Linked DNA regions of Pelodiscus sinensis. The protein of the gene in region 1 purifies or fractionates together with the protein of each later gene. This does not show direct contact. Links are inferred from orthologs where the notes say so. Each region holds a gene or a part of one and is shown in the gene's direction. Other genes may lie near its edges.

Region 1 (9,963 bases):
TGTCACAGGGTTATTTTAGGGGGGTTGTGGTACTGATACCCTTCTGTACTGCTGCTGGCAGTGGTGCTGCCATCAGACCTGGGTGGCTGGAGAGTAGCTGCTGCTGGCCAAGAGCCTAGCTCTGACAGCAGAGCCACTGCCAGCAGCTGCACAGAACTAAGGATGGCATGGTAGTGTCACCCTTACTTCTGCGCTACTGTCTGCAGAGCTGGATCCTTTACACTCAGCTCTGAAGACCGCAGTGCTGAAGTACAGGTGGCATGGTATGGTACTGCCAGCTTACCTGTGCCCCGCTGCTGGCAGGGCTATGCTTTCGGAGCTGGGTGCCTAGCCAACAGCCACTGTTTTCTGTCCACCCAGATCTAAAAGCGGAGCAGAAGGGTGGCAATATCACACCCACCGTAAAATAACATTGAGGACTCCCCCTCCCCGCAACTCCCTTTTGGGTCAGTACCCCTAATTTTAGAAACTCTGGTCTCCCCCATGAAATTTGTATAGCACACTGAAGACCAGATTTCCCAGGGGAGACCAGATTTTACAGTCTGTGACACATTTTTCCTGGCCGTGAATTTGATAGGGCCCTACCGTTAGGGCAGCATGTTGTGGAAAAGCCTGTAATACATCTTCCCATAGCATTGGCTGGCGTTCCGAGCCTCTTATATAAGCATTAGATTTTTTTTTTTCCCCCATTGTAAAAAAAGACAGCACAAGCAAAATAGCTGAAAAGATGCATGGCCACAGCTGCAGCTGGCGTAGGGCTGTTCTTCTGGTCACTTTGGCAGTCTGTATGGCAGTTTAGCTGGAGAATCATTTACATTCAGAAAATGCAGGAAGGCAATTGGCAGGCGACCACAGCCCTTATAGAGAAACAAGTGTCAGGGGGTATCAATCACTTTTGTTTGGGATATTGCAGTTCAGCAGAAATTCAGGGGTTATAAAGAGACTCTCTCACGCAGACTAGCAATAAAGGTTGCAGTGCAGATACAGATTACAGGGTTCCCTGGGGGCTGTGACACCTATTGATGGAGGCAAATCCTCTTCAAGGCAGCATGGAAAACCTGGAAGCGAGAACCCTCTCATGCCTTCCTATAGATGGAGCCCACGTCTGTGCGTTACAGCTGTGTAAGTGTGTTACCACAGGAGAGAGAGATGGAGAGGTGTTGGCTAGGGGTGGGGCATGCCTGATTAGTTCAACTTTGCAGGGGCGATTTTGCCAGGAAAAGGGTGTAGCTGTTTGAGCAAGACCAAGTGGGAGGAGGGGGTGGAACCGGGTTGCCAGGGTTGACTATTTCAAGGGCGTAGGGAAGCGGGATGCATGCAGGCCCAGGGGTGCTAGCGATGGGTGCCGGGCAATGTTGGTGCGGTGTTCCGTAGCGGGTGCTGATGGCGATAGGTGAGCTCTTGAGCGATAAGAACACTGGCTTGTTTACCCCAGTTGCTGCAGCATTCAGCCGCGGATCGATCTACTGCTGCAGAGGGCTTGTCTTTCCAAGGGGCTGTGCACTAGGAGGGACAGAATGGGCGAGAAATGCGGCGAAATAGTCACATATCATATATGTCTGTGTGCAGTGGGTCTCAGACAGAGCTGTGGTGTGAAAAACAAAGGGGCACATTCTCTCTCCTGCTACACTCTGTACTGCTCGTACAATGCAAAGGGAATAGAGATTGGCTGCATCCCCCTAGTTTGGGATGAGAGAGTCCTGAGTGGGTGCTGAGCCAGAAGCACAATCAGCTCCGATGCTCTCCTCCCTGCAGGGGCCAGGAAGAGCATGCAGGCACAGGGAAGGAGGAGTGGGTGGACCACGAATCATTCCAGCTTTGCTGAAGTAGGGGATGGTCTCTTGCCAAACTAGTCCTGGTTACAGCAATTCCCAGGTTGCTCTAACCTGCACCAGGGTCAAAAGAGAATCAGGAAACACACCCAGTTTGCAGAGCACAATCTCTGCGAAACAGAAAAGCTGGCCCAAGGATAGAACTTGCATTCAGGAAGGACTGCATTGATGTCAGCTGGTAGTACTGGGTCAGCAGCAGCATTTTGCAAAGGATACAAGTCAGCACCAAAGCAATTCTAAACTGAAAAAAAAAAAAAAAAAACCAACAACCAACCAGAAGCTAGGGGCTAGCATTCAGCAATTTATTAAGTGTAGTTGATTTTAAAATTGGATTAGTACTTTTGAATGGACAGACATGTACGTCTTTTATAGTGTTAACTGCATGTTGGTCCATTACTTTTCCCCAGCCAGTTGTGTATTTTAAGTAAAACAAGCAATTAGTGAAGAAACTTAAAACTATAGCCAGGGAAACAATTGCAGTGAGTGGGTGGGGGAAGAGTTAAATAACACACTCCGGTGCATCTATTGTACATGTTTAAAATTCTGATTCAACTGTTCACACCTGCCGTTTGTGACACGGAAGCTGTTGGCTCCCATTTCTTCTTTTCCCTTTGAGGGTGCCATTTCTGAACAGAGAAGGGGATATCTGTGTTTCCAGTAGTGATGCACACTTATTACCGCTTCCTTCACATTACTGCCTCCTTCATTCCACTTTTCTGCCCTAGATCTCAAAGGCTGTGTCTACACTGGGCCACTTATTCCGGAAAATCAGCCACTTTTCCGGAATAAGCTGCGAGCTGTCTACACTGGCCCTTGAATTTCCGGAAAAGCAACGATGCTCTACTGTACAAAATCAGCCGCTATTCTGGAAAAACTATTCTGCTCCCGCTCGGGCATAAGTCCTTATTCCAGAACACTGTTCCGGAAAAGGGCCAGTGTAGACAGCCCAGTAGTCTTTTCCGGAAAAAAGCCCCGATTGCGAAAATGGCGATCGGGGCTCTTTTCCGGAAAAGCGCGTCTACATTGGCCACAGATGCTTTTCCGGAAAAAGGGCTTTTCCGGAAAAGCAGCCTGCCAATGTAGACGTGCTTTTTCCGGAAATACTTATAACGAAAACTATTCTGTTTTAAGCATTTCTGGAAATTCATGCCAGTGTAGACACAGCCAAAGTGTTTTCCCAATGCCAGGAGCATCATTGTCCCCATTCTATAGATGGGGGAGGAGACAGAGGCACAGAGAGAAGCAGTGACTTGCTCATGGCCTGCCAGCAAGCCAGCAGCAGCCTGGGAATAGAATCCCAGTGCAGTACTCCCGCCACTCTCACCCTGATTCTCTTCAGTAATTTATGCCCATTGGCTCTACTGGGACTGCTCACATGCAAAAAGATGAATGCGCATAAGTCTTTGCAGAGTTGAAGACATCTGCTTCTAGAAGGCTTACAGCTTACTTACGTTGTCGACTTTTTTTCCAGTTTTTATATTGGTAATTTTTTCCCCAACTCACATATGTTACAATCAGGTGAATCGTTTAGTCCTTCCCAGGAGATGCTAACTTGACTTTGCTGCCTTTGCCACTAGCAAAGTATTAGAAATGAATTCCCGGGCTTTACTGGAGAGAGAAAATCTCCCAGCACCAATGTAACAGAAACTGCTAGAAGCTGAGACTAAGCCTCCAATCCTGCTATCAGATGTGCACAGACAGACCTCTGTGGCTGCAAGCAAACTGGCTTGAAGTCAATGTGGTTTCATCCACATGAATCAGCCTGCAGGACCAGGGCCAAAAACTGGACTAGATCAGATGTATCGAGTTTCTTTGCACAGTCCAAATATTTCAGGATTTCAGTCTGTCAAGCTATGGTCTCCAAAATGGTTTAACAAAAAGTCTTGCCTTGCACCCAAAAAGCAATGCCAGTAATGCAGCATTGAGAGAGCATCCCAAACATGAGGATCCTGTGAATATGGAATAAATCATGCCACCATGGACACAAGATGTTATTTTAAAAAGGGCTTCCTGCCCGCTACAAAATATTTCTATTTCCTTAGATTTTGTCTGTTTAGTAGCAACACAATCTGAACTCTCTAACTCCATATCCCTGCTCTTCCATAGGGAGTGAGGAAGGGAGGTGGAGAAAGCTCCCCAAGGTAAAGGGCAATTGAGGGGGCAGATTATCTCAAACCGAGGCTACCTCCTTCCCACCATTAACAGGGTCTTCTCCGTGACCTCCTTGGCTCTCCCAAAATCCTGCAGTCTTTTCTTTTTTAGCAGTTGCCTTCCTCATCATCACCACACCTCATCCTTAGAATTCCTCCATCCCCTTCTGCCAGGGTCCCCTCTAGTTCTTGTAGCTTCCTGCCTCCACCACGCTCCCTGGAGCGAGAAGGGTCAGTAGCAAGGTCCTTTCCCTCTCTTGTATGGCCACCCCTATTGTTACCATCACATCTGTCTTCTCCTTCACCCTCTTCAGCCCCAACAGGTCCTCCTCCACTTTCTGCTTCCTCATCTCTGCTTACCTCTACTAGGGCTGCCTCCTGATCCATTGTCTCTGCCAGCCTCTTCTCCCTGACTACCTCTCCCTGGGTTCTCCCCATCGTTACAGCCTCCCTTGCCCTCTCCATCTCTTCTCTCTCTTCAACTGGGCCCTATCTCAGCCCCAGTCTTTCCCTGCTCCCTCTGCAGGGCCATTACCAGGTGGTGGGCAAAAGGGAGTCCCCCATAGTCTTCAATGAAAGACAACAGCCATTGCCACCCTTTACCATCCGTGTCTGTCCCATCCCCCAATCAGTGTTGTAATGGACAAAATGAAGTGGCTAACCTAACCTAAGCTCCATGTCCCTAATGAGATGTGGCATTAGATTAGCCACAGCTACACTACTGACCTCTCTCCTCTGTCCTTTCTTACCCTTCCCTTTCTGCCCACTGCTGGTATCCCAAAATAGCTATTCCGCGTCTTAAGAGCAAGCCTGTTGTCCTGAAATATAATGGGCTTGCTATTCCGACGTCCCTGAAAACCTCATTGCACAAGGGTGAAGGACATTTCGGAATGGTGCCTTATTTTGAAATTTGGCATGGTGTAGACAGCGCCAAATTTTGAAATAAGCTATTTTGAAATGACATCAAAATAAGCTAAATACGCTACACAATTTGCACTATGCAAATTGTGTAGCTTATTTCGAGGTAAGGGTGTGGTGTAAATGCACCCCAAGGATACGTCTCCACAGCAACATTATTTCAAAATAGCTAGTGTTATTTTGAAATAACTTAATCTGTGTCTACACAGCCGGCAGTTATTTCAAAGTAATGTCGAAATACTGGCAAGCTGGAGGATTTCTTACTCCGACTCCTGTAACCCTCATTGTAGGAGGAGCAAGGGAAGTCAGAGGAAGAGTGCTCTATTTCAAAATAAGTGCCGTGTGGATGCGCCCAGTTTCGAAATAAGCTATGCAGGTGACGCAGCTCAATTTGCATAGCTTATTTCCAGTTAAGCCCTGTTGTGTAGATGCACCCCAAGTGCACCCCCCATATCTATTTCACAAATGGGTCAGTCATACTGGTATGACACCCCCACTCCTCCAGGTGGAACCTTCCTTGGAGGGTCTCACACCATAGAGAAGAAGGGCAAAGTCCAAGTGCAGTAATAGGAGGAGTCCAGGAAGGGGCAGGCCAAGCAGTTCTCAAAATAGGAAGCACAATCTTTTCCGGCCGCTCCTAATCCCCGTGAAATAAAGTGACAGTACCGTGATAATTCAAAATAATCGATTGGCCTCTCCAGAAAATCTTGTTCCGTTTAATCCAAATAGTGTCTGCCCTCTCCCCTCCCGGCTCATATGGCACATTCCACCTTGTTGACTCTTTGCGGTGCTTGCTTGGGTGGGGCCCTGGTGCTGCGCTGGGGAGCATACGCAAATTGCGTAGCAAGTTTGATGGACGCGGCGAGGCGGCCAATCGGCTGCCGAAGGGCTGAGGCGGGGGGCCAATGGGGTCGCGGACCGGTGCTGAGGGAGGCGGGGCGGGCTTCAGTCAGGGCACGGAGTGGAATGGCGGACGGTAGGGGCGGCCCGCCTCGGTGGTAGTGAGCGGAGGGAGCCGGAGCAGAAAGCGAGGCCGCCTAGCGGGGTGAGTGCGCGGGCGCGCAGGGAGCGACGCCCGTCTCCTTGGCTGGCCCCTGAACCTGGGGGCAGCAGCCAGGCCCCTGCCAAATAGGGAGCCGTGCGGCTGGGGTGGGCCCTGCTTCCTGCCATATAATGAGCCATGGGTGGCGCTGCCTGGGGCTCCCCCCGCCTAGGCCTGGCCTGGGGGGCGGGCTCGGCCTGTCCGCTCGGGGCTGGGGGGCTGGCTGCCTCCATCTCCCTGCCTGGGGGTGGCGCTGGAGCAGAGTCTCCCTCACTGCCAAGCGTGTGGGCCCCTGCCTGGCCCTGTGGGGGGCACCCCCTGAGCTGGGGGGGGCGCCAAGGGGGGGGGCTGTTCAAGGGCTTGGCTGCCAGAGAAGGGCAAAGAGCGGGAGAGCCCGTGGAGCCTGCCAGGATCCCTGCGGTATAGCTCTGATTAGCACAGGACGTGCGTTGATAATGGGGCGACAGGCTTTTCTGTAGCACCCGAAAGTAGAGAGAAGAGGCCTGTGAACAGATTTGGGGGTTTGTTGGACGGAGGAGGGTGACTTGGGTGGAAGATTGACGGCTGGGTTTGTTTGTTTTTCTCCAAAGAACCCTTCTTCCTCCCCCACCCCTCTCCCCCAAGGTGCCCACACAGCTGGTGACGTGCCTGCTTGGGCGTGTAAAAAGTTTTGCCTGTTTTGTGAAGCTGGCTGCTTTTGTTGGTGCGAGTTTTTTGAGAGTGGAATTGTGGCACATTGGTATGAAGCTGTTGTCTGCCTGATTGCTGCCTTCTCAGCCCAGAGGTGGCTGCATTTTGGTGGTGGAAGAATTAGTTCTCTTCTGCCCGCCCTTCCCCCCGTCTTTGTGTGTGTGTGTTCTTCAATAAAATGTAGCACTTTAAAGACTAACAAGATGGTTTATTAGATGATGAGCTTTCGTGGGCCAGACCCACTTCCTCAGATCAAATAGTGGAAGAAAGTAGTCACAACCATATATACCAAAGGATACAATTAAAAAAAAAAAAGAACAAATATGAAAAGGACAAATCACATTGCAGAACAGGAGGGGGATGCAGGGGGGGGGGGGACGGAAGGTAAGTGTCTGTGATTTGTCCTTTTCATATTTGTTCATTTTTTTTAATTGTATCCTTTGGTATATATGGTTGTGACTACTTTCTTCCACTATTTGATCTGAGGAAGTGGGTCTGGCCCACGAAAGCTCATCATCTAATAAACCATCTTGTTAGTCTTTAAAGTGCTACATTGTCCTGCATTTTGCTTCAGCTACCCCAGACTAACACGGCTACATCTCTATCACTGTTCTTCAATACTGATTCTTGGTCTCTTCTAGGACATTAGCTTAGGAGTTCTGTAGCTGGTGGGATATGAAAGGGATAGTTTAGGAAGCTAACCTAGCTGTGACTCAGTCTGAAGACAATACTCTTCCTGAAGATATTCTTCAGATTGTTCTGAATTATCTTGTAGGCCTGCATTAAAACTGCTGCTTCAGGATATGAGCTGTATTCTTTTGAAGCAAGGGAGTTGATAGAGACAACAGCTTAAGGGCCCTGTCTACAAAAGGGAAATTTTCTAAAACTTTTAATGGGTGCCAACATTGATTCAACTCTTCTGTTAGCAACAGTGTCCTAGTGCAGATTGGGCAATACGTGTTCTTAACACCACCTTATATCTCTCTGCTAAGAAGAGGTTTGATCAGTGCAGTGTTAAAAATGTTGGCAAGCCGTCTGTGACATCCAAAGCTGCAATCAGGAGTGGAGCAGAACTGATATAATCAGTGGGTGGGGAATGCATAGAAAATATTCTTGGTGTAAATGGGGCTATAATTTACAAAGCCCTCTCTGGTCCTCTTGCTTGACTAGCACCCAGAAGTGTGGTCAGCCCTGTGAGAGAGAAAAGTTAATAGTGGAAAAATATGGGAGATCCTCAGAGAATGAGGGTGGCACATAGCTTGTCAGTTCTTCTGCAATGTTGCTTTATGGGGAATGGAGTAAACCCACACACAAACTGGTTGTCAGATGAGGAAGGAAAATAGCCACGATTTTTTTCCCATCAGTTCTAAATGTCTGCAGAACTTGTTACTATTAAAAGTCACAGGAATGAAAATGCCCTTTGTTGTGACTTACTGTACAGTAGAATTTCTGTATCGGTTTCTTTTAGTTTGACTCTTGTGTGGGTTTTTGTGTTAAGTTTTGGTTAAAGGCTATATTGAGCCTCTTGTAAAATGTATTATTAAAATCTTTAACAGACTTGTATAATATTTACAAATTTTAAAAACAGTAATAGCATGACTTTGAAAATCCATTCATTGACTCATGAGTAAGTGCAAAGCTATAAATGGCTGGTGAAAGTAGGTCAAACACAGCTGCAAAATTTGTTTTTATATTTTTAACTTTTTTTAATGTAATACCCTGGTTTGGGGAAGTTCCTCCCAAACTTCACAAGTCTACCCGATTCGAATTCTCATACAATCATCACTTTTAATGCTACTCCCCTGGGTGTGTTGGCAGTGGCAATGATTGATCTCTGAATCATAAAACATGAGCATCTACTAGCAGGATCATCAAGCTCAGTATGTGTAGCCCAGCCAACGCTAGATGGGGACAGCGAGTCACACTGAATGGATGTGGGTTACAGAAAGATCATCTTCCAAGGGAGAACTGAATGTCAACTCCAACTCATCTGATGGAGTGGGTTTTACCCATGAAAGCTCATGGTTCTATGTATTTTTGTTAGTCTCTAAGGTGCCACATAAGTCATTGTTTTTAAAGTTACAGACTAACACAACTACCCCTCTGAAACCTTTTTCCTGTCCACTTACCATTTTGCATGCAAATGGCTCTAGTACTTCTGCTGCTGGTGAGAGTCTTTCCAAGCAGCTGAAGGGTAAAATTAACAGGACTGTGGTTGGTTTCACTGTTTTCTTTAGAACCTGGTGAATAGCAGTGAAAGGGACAACTCAGCTATTGTTTGGGAAAGCTGTTGTCTATTTACCAGGCTGGTGGACCTCCATAAACATTTCATTTTGATTTTGCCTGGTAGATTTCTATTGAAGTTTTCTATTCCTGATTTACAGAAGTGTGTATAGCACAACCCATAATAATTGGAAAAGATGAGAAAATAAGAGTTGAAGACAGCTGAAATAAAGCAGCCTATAGGTAAGGCCCTGCAAATCCACAGACATCTACTTTATATCCACAGCCTCATCCATGGATATGGATGCAGATATCTGTGGCTCATCTTTGCAGATACAAATTTTGCATCTATGCAGGTCTCTAACTATAGGCAGTAGAACTGATAAAAATGCACTAATTTATCTGAAACGCTCTAGTTTAAAATCAAACAAAGTAGTGACTGACTAGTTGTACTATAGGATAGCTACCCACAGTGCACTGCTCTCTGCAGTGCTGCTAGTGAGGATACACTCCATTGGCACAAGCAGTGTGGTGTGGACGTATACAGCCAACTTAATTACTGCAAAGGCTGTATGTCAACTTAGAATCAACTTACGTTTGTGGTATATAGACATGCCCTTGCTAAGGAAAGAGGCATGGACCTGTAAAGAGGTGCAGAGCTATCACTACAGGAGACTTTAGGAATGAGTAATTGATAATGTTCCGTTGAGCAGAATTTTATACCATTGTCACTAGGAATTGCAATGCATACCAAATACACTTGATTTATTTGTAAGTTTTCAGTTCAGAACATGTCTTCTGATCAATGATTGAGTGGGTGACACAAATAATTAAAAAAAAAAACTTGTGTATAAATTAGGGATGTAAAAGAGTAGTCGATTAGTCAACTACCCGATAAGCCTAGGCAGAATGGTGGGGGGAAGCAGGAGCTGGTATTGGGACGAGCCGGCTTAAAAGCTGGTTCCCTCCAGCAAAGTCTCTGCATTGCTGCTTCACCCCCCACACACTGCTGCCTCTATCAGATGCAGCAGTGCGGGAGGCGCGTGGGAGGCTGCTCCGGCAGAAGCCCCTGGCTGCAGGAGTCCCAGCAGGGATTTTTGGGACCCAC
Region 2 (10,047 bases), on another chromosome or scaffold:
TTCCTCTCCAGCATCTAGCCCAGACCGAGTAGAGCTGCTCCTTTTTATACTGCCCAACACTTGGAGCATGCCCAGTCTGGGTGGAGGGGCGGGACTTCCTCTGCCCACAGGCTTTTAACCCCTTCTGCCTACCCTGTCACAGTCTGTTTCACTGAAACAGCTTGATGAGCACAGGGGAAACTGTGAGCGGGTCCCCCTTAGTAGCATAAACTCTCCTTTTGCTCCCCCAGCTGTAAGCCTCCCTGTTTTAGCTGCTCATTAGCTCTAGCACAGCGGTTCTCAAAGGCTGTGTTTAGACTGGCAAGTTTTTCCAGAAAATCAGCCACTTTTCCGGAAAAACTTGCCAGCTGTCTACACTGGCCGCTTGAATTTCCGCAAAAGCACTGACGATCTCATGTAAGATTGTCAGTGTTCTTGCGGAAATACTAGGCTGCTCCCGTTCGGGCAAAAGTCCTTTTGCGCAAAAGGGCCGGTGTAGACAGCTCAGATTTGTTTTCCATAAAAAAGCCCCGATGGCGAAAATGGCGATCAGGGCTTTTTTGCAGAAAAGCGCATCTAGATTGGCCACAGACATTTTTCCACAAAAAGTGCTTTTGCGGAAAAGCATCCTGCCAATCTAGATGCGCTTTTCCAAAAATGCTTTTAACGGAAAACTTTTCCGTTAAAGGCATTTCTGGAAAATCATGCCAGTGTAGACGTAGCCAAAGTGTGGTCTGCAGACCCCTTCAGGGCTCGCCCGCCTCCCCGCCACAGCGGGTAGCCTGCACTGTTGCTCCAGCTCTGCAGCCCCTCGTGTGGTTGGAGTGCCAGCACCAGCTTCTCGCTGGGCGGGAGCCCCAAGCCTCACAGGCCAGATCTGGCTTATTCCAGGGAGGAAGCAGATCTGCATGCTGCTGCTGCTGCTCCCCTTCCCCTGGCGGCTGGAGGAATGGACAACACGGTGAACCACTTCCCTGGCCACTTTTCACATTGCTCCCATTGGCTGGAATCCCAGCCAATGGGAGCAGCAGGGGGCGGAGTCTGGGAGCAGCGGAAGTGCCCAGACCCCTTACCTCCATCCCCCTCACATACACCTCTCCTGCCCACACCCCACTGCTGTATCCCCTTCCTGCCCAGACTCCCCATTCCCAGCCTGCTCCTGCATCCAACTTCGCAGCCTGACCCCCATCCCCAGCCCGCTCCCACCCCAACCTCGCACCCCCACCCGCTCCTGCACTCTTTTTGTCATCTGGGTGGTTGGCTGGCGGTCCGTGGAAAGGCTGTCATTGGGTGGGGTGGGCTGCAGGCCAAAACGTTTAGAACCCCCGCTCTAGCAGACAGTCACGCTAGTCAGACCACAACTCCAGGCGGAGCAACGTTGCGCATTTGTGTATGAGACGAAAGGGGATCTCTTTGCGTTCTGCCCCCTCTGTCGACCCTCCCACGATGCTCGCCTAGAAATGAGCAGCCCTTGGCAGATGCCAAGCAGCTCTGGGAACTACCGAGCTCACACGTGGGCGCCCGAACATCATGGATGCCTGACTTCACGTCACAGGCTTTGAAAGACATGGATCACGCCAGCACTGGCTTTTCGGCAGCCAGCTTCCCAACGGTGGGGCTAATTTTTAGGCAAAGAACCAGCCTGAGATCAGCCCCTTACCCAACACAGTTTTGCTTGAACGGCCACTTCATTGAGCGCTATCCTTTTAAAACTTTGTGCCCAGAGTGTCCTAGATTTTAAGACTGGAGGAGCCCCGGTGATCATCTAGTGCAGCGGTGGCCAACCTGCGGCTCCCGAGCTGCATGCGGCTCTTTGCTTAAAGAAAAGTGGCTCTTGCACGCCCAGACTGCTCCCGGCCGGCCCCTCTGCACACGTGCCCCAGTGCCTGGAGGGAGAAGCGCATGGTGGCAGCAGCTCCAGGACCCAGGCATTGGGTTAGAGCAGGGGGAAGAGGGGGACTGTGGGTGCCGGGCTCTGGGGGAGGTGAGGGGGATGGGGTTAGAGTGGGGGGAGAGGCGTGCCTGGCTCTGGGGGAGGACGAGGACATTGGGTTATTGCAGGGAGGCTGGGGGATGCCTGGCTCTGAGGGAGAGGGGGGATTGGGTTAGAGCAGGGGGGCTGAAACACCTTAAACTGAAAGTCCTCATGGATGCAGAATAAGGCAGCCAACACAGATGTCATATTTAAATCCCAGGGCAAAAAAAGAATCAGCATGTACCTAGTTTACACTGGGTTTCTTTAAAGAAAATTCAGAGGCGATTGTTTGCCAGGCTGAAGCCATTATTCTGAGATGTGGGTCTCTCCCATATTGTTTTGAACCTCTCAGATTTGCAGTCTGGGACAGATTGAATTTTTAGGACTAGAAAAAAGCCATCATCTTCATAAGTAAAAAAACGAGTAAACCATACCAGAGATCAACAAGCTAGAGGGAAACAGGCACTTCAAATTGTCTATACCCCCCCATCCCCATACATCCCCCCCATCAATACAACTAAATATATAATACATGGCTCTTCACACTCTATCCACAGCTATTTTGGCTCTTTGTCTCTATCTGGTTGGCCACCCCTGACCCAGTGCAACCTCCTGTATGAATCAGGCCACAGAACTTCCCTGGCTTATTACTGTTCCAAGTCCACTAGCTGTGACCGTACGGGCATAGAAAAACATCCACATTTCACTTAAAGATTTCCAGAGCAGGACACTCCCCAACACCCCTTGGAAACTTGCTCCAGAGGATAAATCCCCCCTCTGTTACCGCCTTCCACCTTATTTTGTGTACTCATTTGTCTAGCTTCAAATTCTACCCATTGGGCCTTGTTGCCAGTATCCCATTCCCTCCATAAACGTATCCTACTTAGTACTGGAAGCCAGCTCGAATGTTTGCCCCCACAACTCCCCTTGGAAGGCTGTGCTAGAACTTCCTCCTCGTATGGACAGAAACCTTCATCAGATTGCAAAAAAATAAAACCTGATTCTGGGCGGCTTTCACAGGAGTGTTGTGAGCAAGACACGAGAAGTCCTTCTTCCGCTCTGCTCTGCGCTGACTAGGCCTCAGTTGGAGGACTGTGTCCAGTTCTGGGCACCGCTTTTCAGGAAAGCTGTGGAGAAATTGGGGAGGGTCCAGAGAAGAGCAACAAATACGATGAAAGTTCTAGAGGACAGGAGCAAAGAGAGAAGACTGAAAGAATTGGGCTTGTTTAGTTTATAAAAGAGAAAACTGAGAGGGGACATGGTAGCAGTTTCAAGTACCTAAAAGAGTGCAACAAGGAGAAGGGAGAAAAATTGTTCTCCTTGGCCTCGGAGGATCGGACAAGAAGCAATGGGCTTAAATTGCAGCAAGGGAGGTTTAGGTAGGACATGAGGAAAAGCTCCCTGTCAGGGTGGTTAAACACTGGAATAAATTGCCCAGGGAGGTTGTGGAATCTCCATCTCTGGAGATATTTGAGAGCAGGTTAGACAGACACCTGTCAGGGCTGATCTAGATGGCGCCTGGTCCTGCCACGAGGGCAGGGAACTGGACTCGATGACCTCTCGAGGTCCCTTCCAGTTCTGTGATTCTATTTCAAGCCCAGACTTGTTGGAGGCCTGTATCTATCCATTTGTTCTTGTGGCCACACTGGCGCATAACTGAAATCCCTCCTCTCCCTCCCTGGTATGTTTCCCTTGGGTGTATTTAGAGAGAGCGCTCAGATCTTCCCTCCACCTTCTTCAGATCAGGCCAAACAAGCCCAGTTGTTTGTGTCTCCACAGAGGGAAGATTTTCTATTCCTCAGATCAGCCTCGCAGGGTGTGGGTGCAGGGGGAGGGCGGTGGGTGGGTGGCAGTAGGATGTGAGCTGACGGAGGGGTGTGGGTGGGTGCAGGGTGTGAGCTGACGGAGGGGTGTGGGTGCAGGGGGAGAGCGCTGGGTGGGTGCAGGGTGTGAACTGACGGAGGGGTGTGGGTGCAGGGGGAGGGCGCTGGATGGGTGCAGGGTGTGAACTGACGGAGGGGTGTGGGTGCAGGGGGAGGAGGGTGGGTGGGTGCAGGGTGTGAGCTGACGGAGGGGTGTGGGTGCAGGGGGAGAGCGCTGGGTGGGTGCAGGGTGTGAGCTGACGGAGGGGTGTGGGTGCAGGGGGAGGGCGGTGGGTGGGTGCAGGGTGTGAGCTGACGGAGGGGTGTGGGTGCAGGGGGAGGGCGGTGGGTGGGTGCAGGGTGTGAGCTGACGGAGGGGTGTGGGTGCAGGAGGAGGGCGCTGGGTGGGTGCAGGGTGTGAGCTGATGGAGGGGTGTGGGTGCAGGGTGTGAGCTGATGGAGGGGTGTGGGTGCAGGAGGAGGGCGCTGGGTGGGTGCAGGGTGTGAGCTGACGGAGGGGTGTGGGTGCAGAGGGAGGGCGGTGGGTGGGTGCAGGGTGTGAGCTGACGGAGGGGTGTGGGTGAAGGAGGAGGGCGGTGGGTGGGTTCAGGGTGTGAGCTGACAGAGGGGTGTGGGTGCAGGGTGTGAGCTGACGGAGGGGTGTGGGTGAAGGAGGAGGGCGGTGGGTGGGTGCAGGGTGTGAGCTGACAGAGGGGTGTGGGTGCAGGGTGTGAGCTGACGGAGGGTGTGGGTGCAGGGGGAGGGCGCTGGGTGGGTGCCGGGTGTGAGCTGACGGAGGGGTGTGGGTGCAGGGGGAGGGCGGTGGGTGGGTGCCGGGTGTGAGCTGACGGAGGGGTGTGGGTGCAGGGGGAGGGCGGTGGGTGGGTGCAGGGTGTGAGCTGACGGAGGGTGTGGGTGCAGGGGGAGGGCGCTGGGTGGGTGCCGGGTGTGAGCTGACGGAGGGTGTGGGTGCAGGGGGAGGGCGGTGGGTGGGTGCCGGGTGTGAGCTGACGGAGGGTGTGGGTGCAGGGGGAGGGCGCTGGGTGGGTGCCGGGTGTGAGCTGACGGAGGGTGTGGGTGCAGGGGGAGGGCGCTGGGTGGGTGCCGGGTGTGAGCTGACGGAGGGGTGTGGGTGCAGGGGGAGGGCGCTGGGTGGGTGCCGGGTGTGAGCTGACGGAGGGTGTGGGTGCAGGGGGAGGGCGGTGGGTGGGTGCCGGGTGTGCGTGGCAGGAGGGGCGCGCAGGGCGGGACCAGTCGCTCCATCCCCGCAGCGCGGCGCGGCGCGGGCGCACGGAGCATCCCGCAGGCGGGCGGGGCGCGCAGCGGGCGCGCAGCGCAGGAAGTGCACTTGCTGCTCCATTTCCTGCTCTTTGTGTGTCTGACACCGATCGCGGCGCAGGCGGCTGCGGCTCGGAGCATCCTCTCGCGGCCGGTAAGCGGCGGGGCCCGGCCGGGCTGGGGGCGCCGCGGGCAGGGGGCGCCGGGCGGCCCGGGGAGCACCGGGCTGGGCACGGCCGGTGCCGCTTCGCTGCGCCCTGCCCGGGCTGGAACCGCGCAACAGGGGGATCCCGGCCGCTGGGGGGGCGCTTGGCCCCGGGCCATGACAGCTCGCCCAGGCAGGCAGCCCCCGGCCCCGCATGGAGCCCTGCCCGGCTTTGCCTGGGGTGCCTCGCAGCCCCCCCTCCCCGGGCTTGCACGGGCCCTGGGGTGCGGGGTCCCCATGCAAAGCACCGCGGGCAGGTGCAGCTGCGCCCTGCGAGCCACAGAGCGCTGCGGGGCCCAGCTTAGCGCAGGGGCTGTTGCAGGATGAGCGATCCCAGCATGCTGCGGGCTTATCCAGAGCCTCCTTGTTTATTCTAGTGCACCCGCCAGGCAGCCTAAAGGGCCCAATTCCCCCCCCCCCCCTTCCCCTCTGCAGCAAATGGGATGAGCTTAGAGTGAGGGGCTGGCAGGAGGCTGCAGTCTGGGGGAGCCAGCAGCCTCCCACCGCAGCCGCTTCCCCTCATTGCCAGGAGTTGGCCAGAAGGGCAGCGTTTAATTCGAGCCCATATCGGAGCCGTGCTGCGTGGACACGAGGACATGGGTGTGGAAGAACAATGGGGCGGCCCAAAGGGAAATGGACGGCGGGGTACACAGCCAGCGTGGCCACAGAGCCCGGGCAGAAAATAAAAGGCGCAAGTGGCTCGCAGAGGTGAAGGCGCACACAGTGAACAGAACAGAATCAAAAGTGCCCCCCTGGTTCTGCTGGCAGGGGAGGAGGCAGACGCGGTTGCAGTTTGCGTTGAGGGTGGAAATTAGGGACTTGAACTTTGGCTGGCTTGAGTGAGGAACCAAAAATACAGGCTTGGAAGTCTGCAAAGCCACATATCCCACAGCGGTTGCAGACCAGTTTTTCTCTCCTGTCATTTAAACTCACGGCCACTTTTCAGCGGTGAGACGTTTTCAAAACAAGAGGGGGGCCCACCCATCACGCTGGAGGTGAACTTTCGAACCCAGGACGTTTGAGTGGGCTTGAAAGAAGGAGAGGCACGTTCACTCCCAGTCTGGTGCCAGACAGGCCCTGAGTAAAAAGAAGGGAATGGATTTGGCAGGAAACGTCCATGTCCCGAGGAATCAGGATTGACCAGTGAGAGACAAGTGGAAACCTTTGTGCTTGCTCCTGTGTATTTGCTGGGGTTTGGTTTTTTGGTGGGGGAGGAGAGGGGACTGGCATTTACAGACACACGTTTGTAGTTTGGCAAGGAACAGGATATTGCATAGCTCGGCCCTCCTAGCCAGCCGTTGCTTTCAGCATGGTGGTTTGTTTCTAGCTGTGTTTCTTGGATCACAGGGGTCTCCCGTAATTGTGTCAGGTCGTTAAACCGTTGGACACTTCCTGCTCAGCCCAGGAAACTAAAAAAAAACATGTCCAAGTTTTACATTAGGAGGGCTGCCAGATGCCAGTCACCTTGGTAGATTCCTGGAGCCAAATTCTGCTGTCCACTTTCAGTGTAAATCCAGCGTCATTCCTCAGACAGGAATTTAGCCCTAATATATACGGCTGATTTTTGTTAGCAACGTTTATGTAATCAGCTGATGCCTTGAAATCTGATTAGGTTCAACAAGGACAAGTGCAGAGTCCTGCCCTTGGAATGGAAGAATCCCAGGCACTGTTACAGGCTGGGGATGGACTGGCTAAGTACCAGTTCAGTAGAAAAGGACCCGGGGATTCCAGTGGATGAGAAGCTGGTTATGAGTCAACAGGGCGCCCTTGTAGCCAAGAAGGCGAATGGCATATTAGGTTGCATTAGGAGGAGCATGGCCAGCACATCTAGAGAAGTGATTATTCCCCTTTATTCAGCTCTGGTGAGCCCACAACTGGAGTATTGTGTCCAGTTCTGGGCCCCCCACTATAGAAAGGATGTGGATGCATTGGAGAGGGTCCGGCAGAGGGCAACCAAAATGATTAGGGGGATGGAGCACATGACCTACGAGTAGAGACTGTGGGATTTGGGCTTGTTTAGTCTGCAGAAGCGAAGAGTGAGGGGGGATTTGATAGCAGTCTTCAACTTTCTCAAGGGAGATTCCAAAGAGGATGGAGAGAGGCTGTTCTCAGTAGTGACAGATGGCAGAACAAGGAGCAATGGTCTCAAGTTGCAGTGGGAGAGGTCAAGGTTGGATATTAGGAAAAACAATTTCCCTAGGTGGGTGGGGAATCACTGGGATGGGTTCCCTAGGGAAGTAGTGGAGTCTCCATCCCTAGAGGTTTTTAAGTCTCAGCTTGACAAAGCCCTGGCTGGATTGATTTGGTTGGGATTGGTCCTGCTTTGGGCAGGGGACTGGACTTGATGACCTCCTGAGGTCTCTTCCAACTCTCTGGTTCTATGATTCCAAAGCGAGGGTCCATGGAACAAACATGACCACTGAGGAGTCAAAGGCGGAACAATGTAATAATTCGTAGTAATAATAATAATATGCATGTATCAACTTGTCTGTCTTCAAGAAAAAGAGGAAATTGCTCTTCAAGGGATTAGCAATCAGTGATATTTCTTTGTCTATGTGCAACATTTCATTTCACACGAGGCTATTTAATACCAGCTATTTTTTGCCATCTCCCAGCAATTGTGATTATTCTTCGACAAAGGCCATTTCTAGGCATACAGCCCTGCAGCTGTACAGATGTCTGGTGGAGACGCTCTATGCCGATGTGAAAGAGAGCTCTCCTGTCGCCATAATAAAGCCACCTCTGCGAGTGGCGGAAGCTACTTGGGTGGGAGCTGCTCTCCCGCTGACACATCACTGTCAGTGTTCCGTATGTTGCTCAGGCGACAGCTGGTGTATTCATACCCCGGAGTGATGTAAATTATGCTGACGCAGGTGGTAGCGTAAACGTAGCCTCATTCTAATATGCTCTGAACCCATGTTGGCAACAGCTTGTCTTCTCAAAATAGCACGGGACTACTGTACTTTTGTGCCTCCTGCGTGAAGTTTTTGGTCAAATCAGTACACCGGCGTGTCTGAGGCATATCACAAACGCCGACAGTGCTTTCCCAAAAGCATTATCCCCATGTTGCACCTAGCACAGAGAAATTAAGTGCCTTGCCCAGGCAGCCTGCAGCACTGCTGGGAATCAAACGCAGGTCTTTGAAGGACCACACTGGGGCTTAATGCACATGCTCATCTGTCTTCCCCGGAGCTCCGCTTTTCCCCTACGTGGCCAACTTTGCCACTCCTCTGTCTGTTTCCCCGTGTCCCGACTGCCTGTTCTCCAGGGTGTGACGGGCAGCCAGACTAAAGGTGCCACACTTTAGAGTAGCCCATGCTGTTTCTTGCCTTATCCTGACCCTTTAAGATGTTATGGCACCAGCATGAGTCTCATCTGCTGGCTGAGGGCAAGCCAACTAGATGTCATGACCCAACTTGCTTCCTCCTTTGTTCTTGTCCACCGCAACTTCTGGGCAAGCAAAGAGCCAGTTCACCGGTTGTTGGCTGCCAAGTAGTTTGCAGATACAATGCACCAGTTATTGGGGAACCTGCCCCACACTGGAGTGAGGGGCCTTCTTCCTTCCCCCCAAAATTCGATTACTCTGAAGGATCAAGACTTGCCAGTAGATCATGGCCCGGGAAGTAGCTAAAAGAGACACTGTGGTCCAAAGACATTTCATGGCCAACACTTTAAGCTTGTTTGAAGTTTTAGGCATAAAATAATGGGCCAACCCTTGAAATTCCAAGTTCAAATTCGGTGGGAACTGACTCATCCCGTGTCCTTTTGGCGGAAGGCCGTTGAGTTCCGTGCAGTTCATTCTGTGAGGTCTTTCTGATGAGACCTTCATGTATAAGAACTTGTCTGCTCTGCGTGGGCCTTGAAATTCCCAACGTATGGCATCCTTTGAAAAGCTTGGCCCTCTTGTCCTCAGGCATCAATTGCGAAGTGCTGGATATCGCTTGCTGGCTGCACTTTAGCAGTGCTGGTTTTGTGAATAGATTTATTATTCCTGTAGAGCCTTAGGGTTGCCAGATGGTTTAAAAAAAATACCAGACAAAAATTTGTCGAGATCAAAAAAAAAAAAAGCACTGGGGAGTAACCAGGGAGACCTGGGAGGGGCGGGGATTTGGGAGGCCAGGACAAAATGCAGTCGCGGCCCCTTTAATTGCCGCGTGTCCCAAGTGGGCTTTTGTCAGACCCGAGCCGGGCCCAGGAAAAGCAAAAAAAGTACTTACTTAGAAAATACCAGACATATTTTTCTCCATTTGTTTACCGGACACAAAGTCCGAATACTGGACTGTCCGGTTCAATCCCAGACACCTGGCAACCCTATAGAGTCTAGAGGACACGGTTCCTTTGTGCTAGGGATTTGACAACGTTCTATAGAGAGTCTCTGCCCCATAGAGTTTGCAGTTGCATTAGATGAGAGACAGCCGGTTTACAAAGCAGATGGACATAGAGAGCGCAAAGTTATAATGAGCTGATACCAATCAGCATGAGAAGCAGCAGGCAGTCACATCAAGCCAGCTGCTTATCCATGGTTCAGGGTTGGTTTGTTTTTTGTAGGCTTCATGGCCAAGGAGAGTTGTAAGGAGGACAATATGGTGGTTAAGTGGAATTTTGCGAGGAATTTCTCCCATGCATAAAGGGCAGCATAGGAGAAAGCAAAGAGGCACTTGCTGGAGCATTTGAGAAATGGGTGATTGAGAGAGAAATTGCTTTGAAGATCCTTTGGGATGAAAGATGGAATTAAATGAAAATGACTC

The links. The genes of interacting proteins can lie anywhere in the genome.
Region 2: the proteins of WASF2 (region 1) and CYFIP2 purify together in Homo sapiens (co-immunoprecipitation; 3 studies listed by BioGRID and IntAct, with this or other methods). This does not show direct contact. The link is inferred for Pelodiscus sinensis from reciprocal best matches to the Homo sapiens genes WASF2 and CYFIP2.

Annotation. Positions count from the first base shown.
Region 1 is NC_134735.1:12,302,482-12,312,444, reverse strand, and holds the start of WASF2 (actin-binding protein WASF2), read left to right. Parts: upstream 1-5,807; 5' UTR 5,808-5,945; intron 5,946-9,963. UniProt on the Homo sapiens protein: Downstream effector molecule involved in the transmission of signals from tyrosine kinase receptors and small GTPases to the actin cytoskeleton. Promotes formation of actin filaments. Part of the WAVE complex that regulates lamellipodia formation.
Region 2 is NC_134727.1:39,280,764-39,290,810, forward strand, and holds the start of CYFIP2 (cytoplasmic FMR1-interacting protein 2), read left to right. Parts: upstream 1-5,088; 5' UTR 5,089-5,248; intron 5,249-10,047. UniProt on the Homo sapiens protein: Involved in T-cell adhesion and p53/TP53-dependent induction of apoptosis. Does not bind RNA. As component of the WAVE1 complex, required for BDNF-NTRK2 endocytic trafficking and signaling from early endosomes.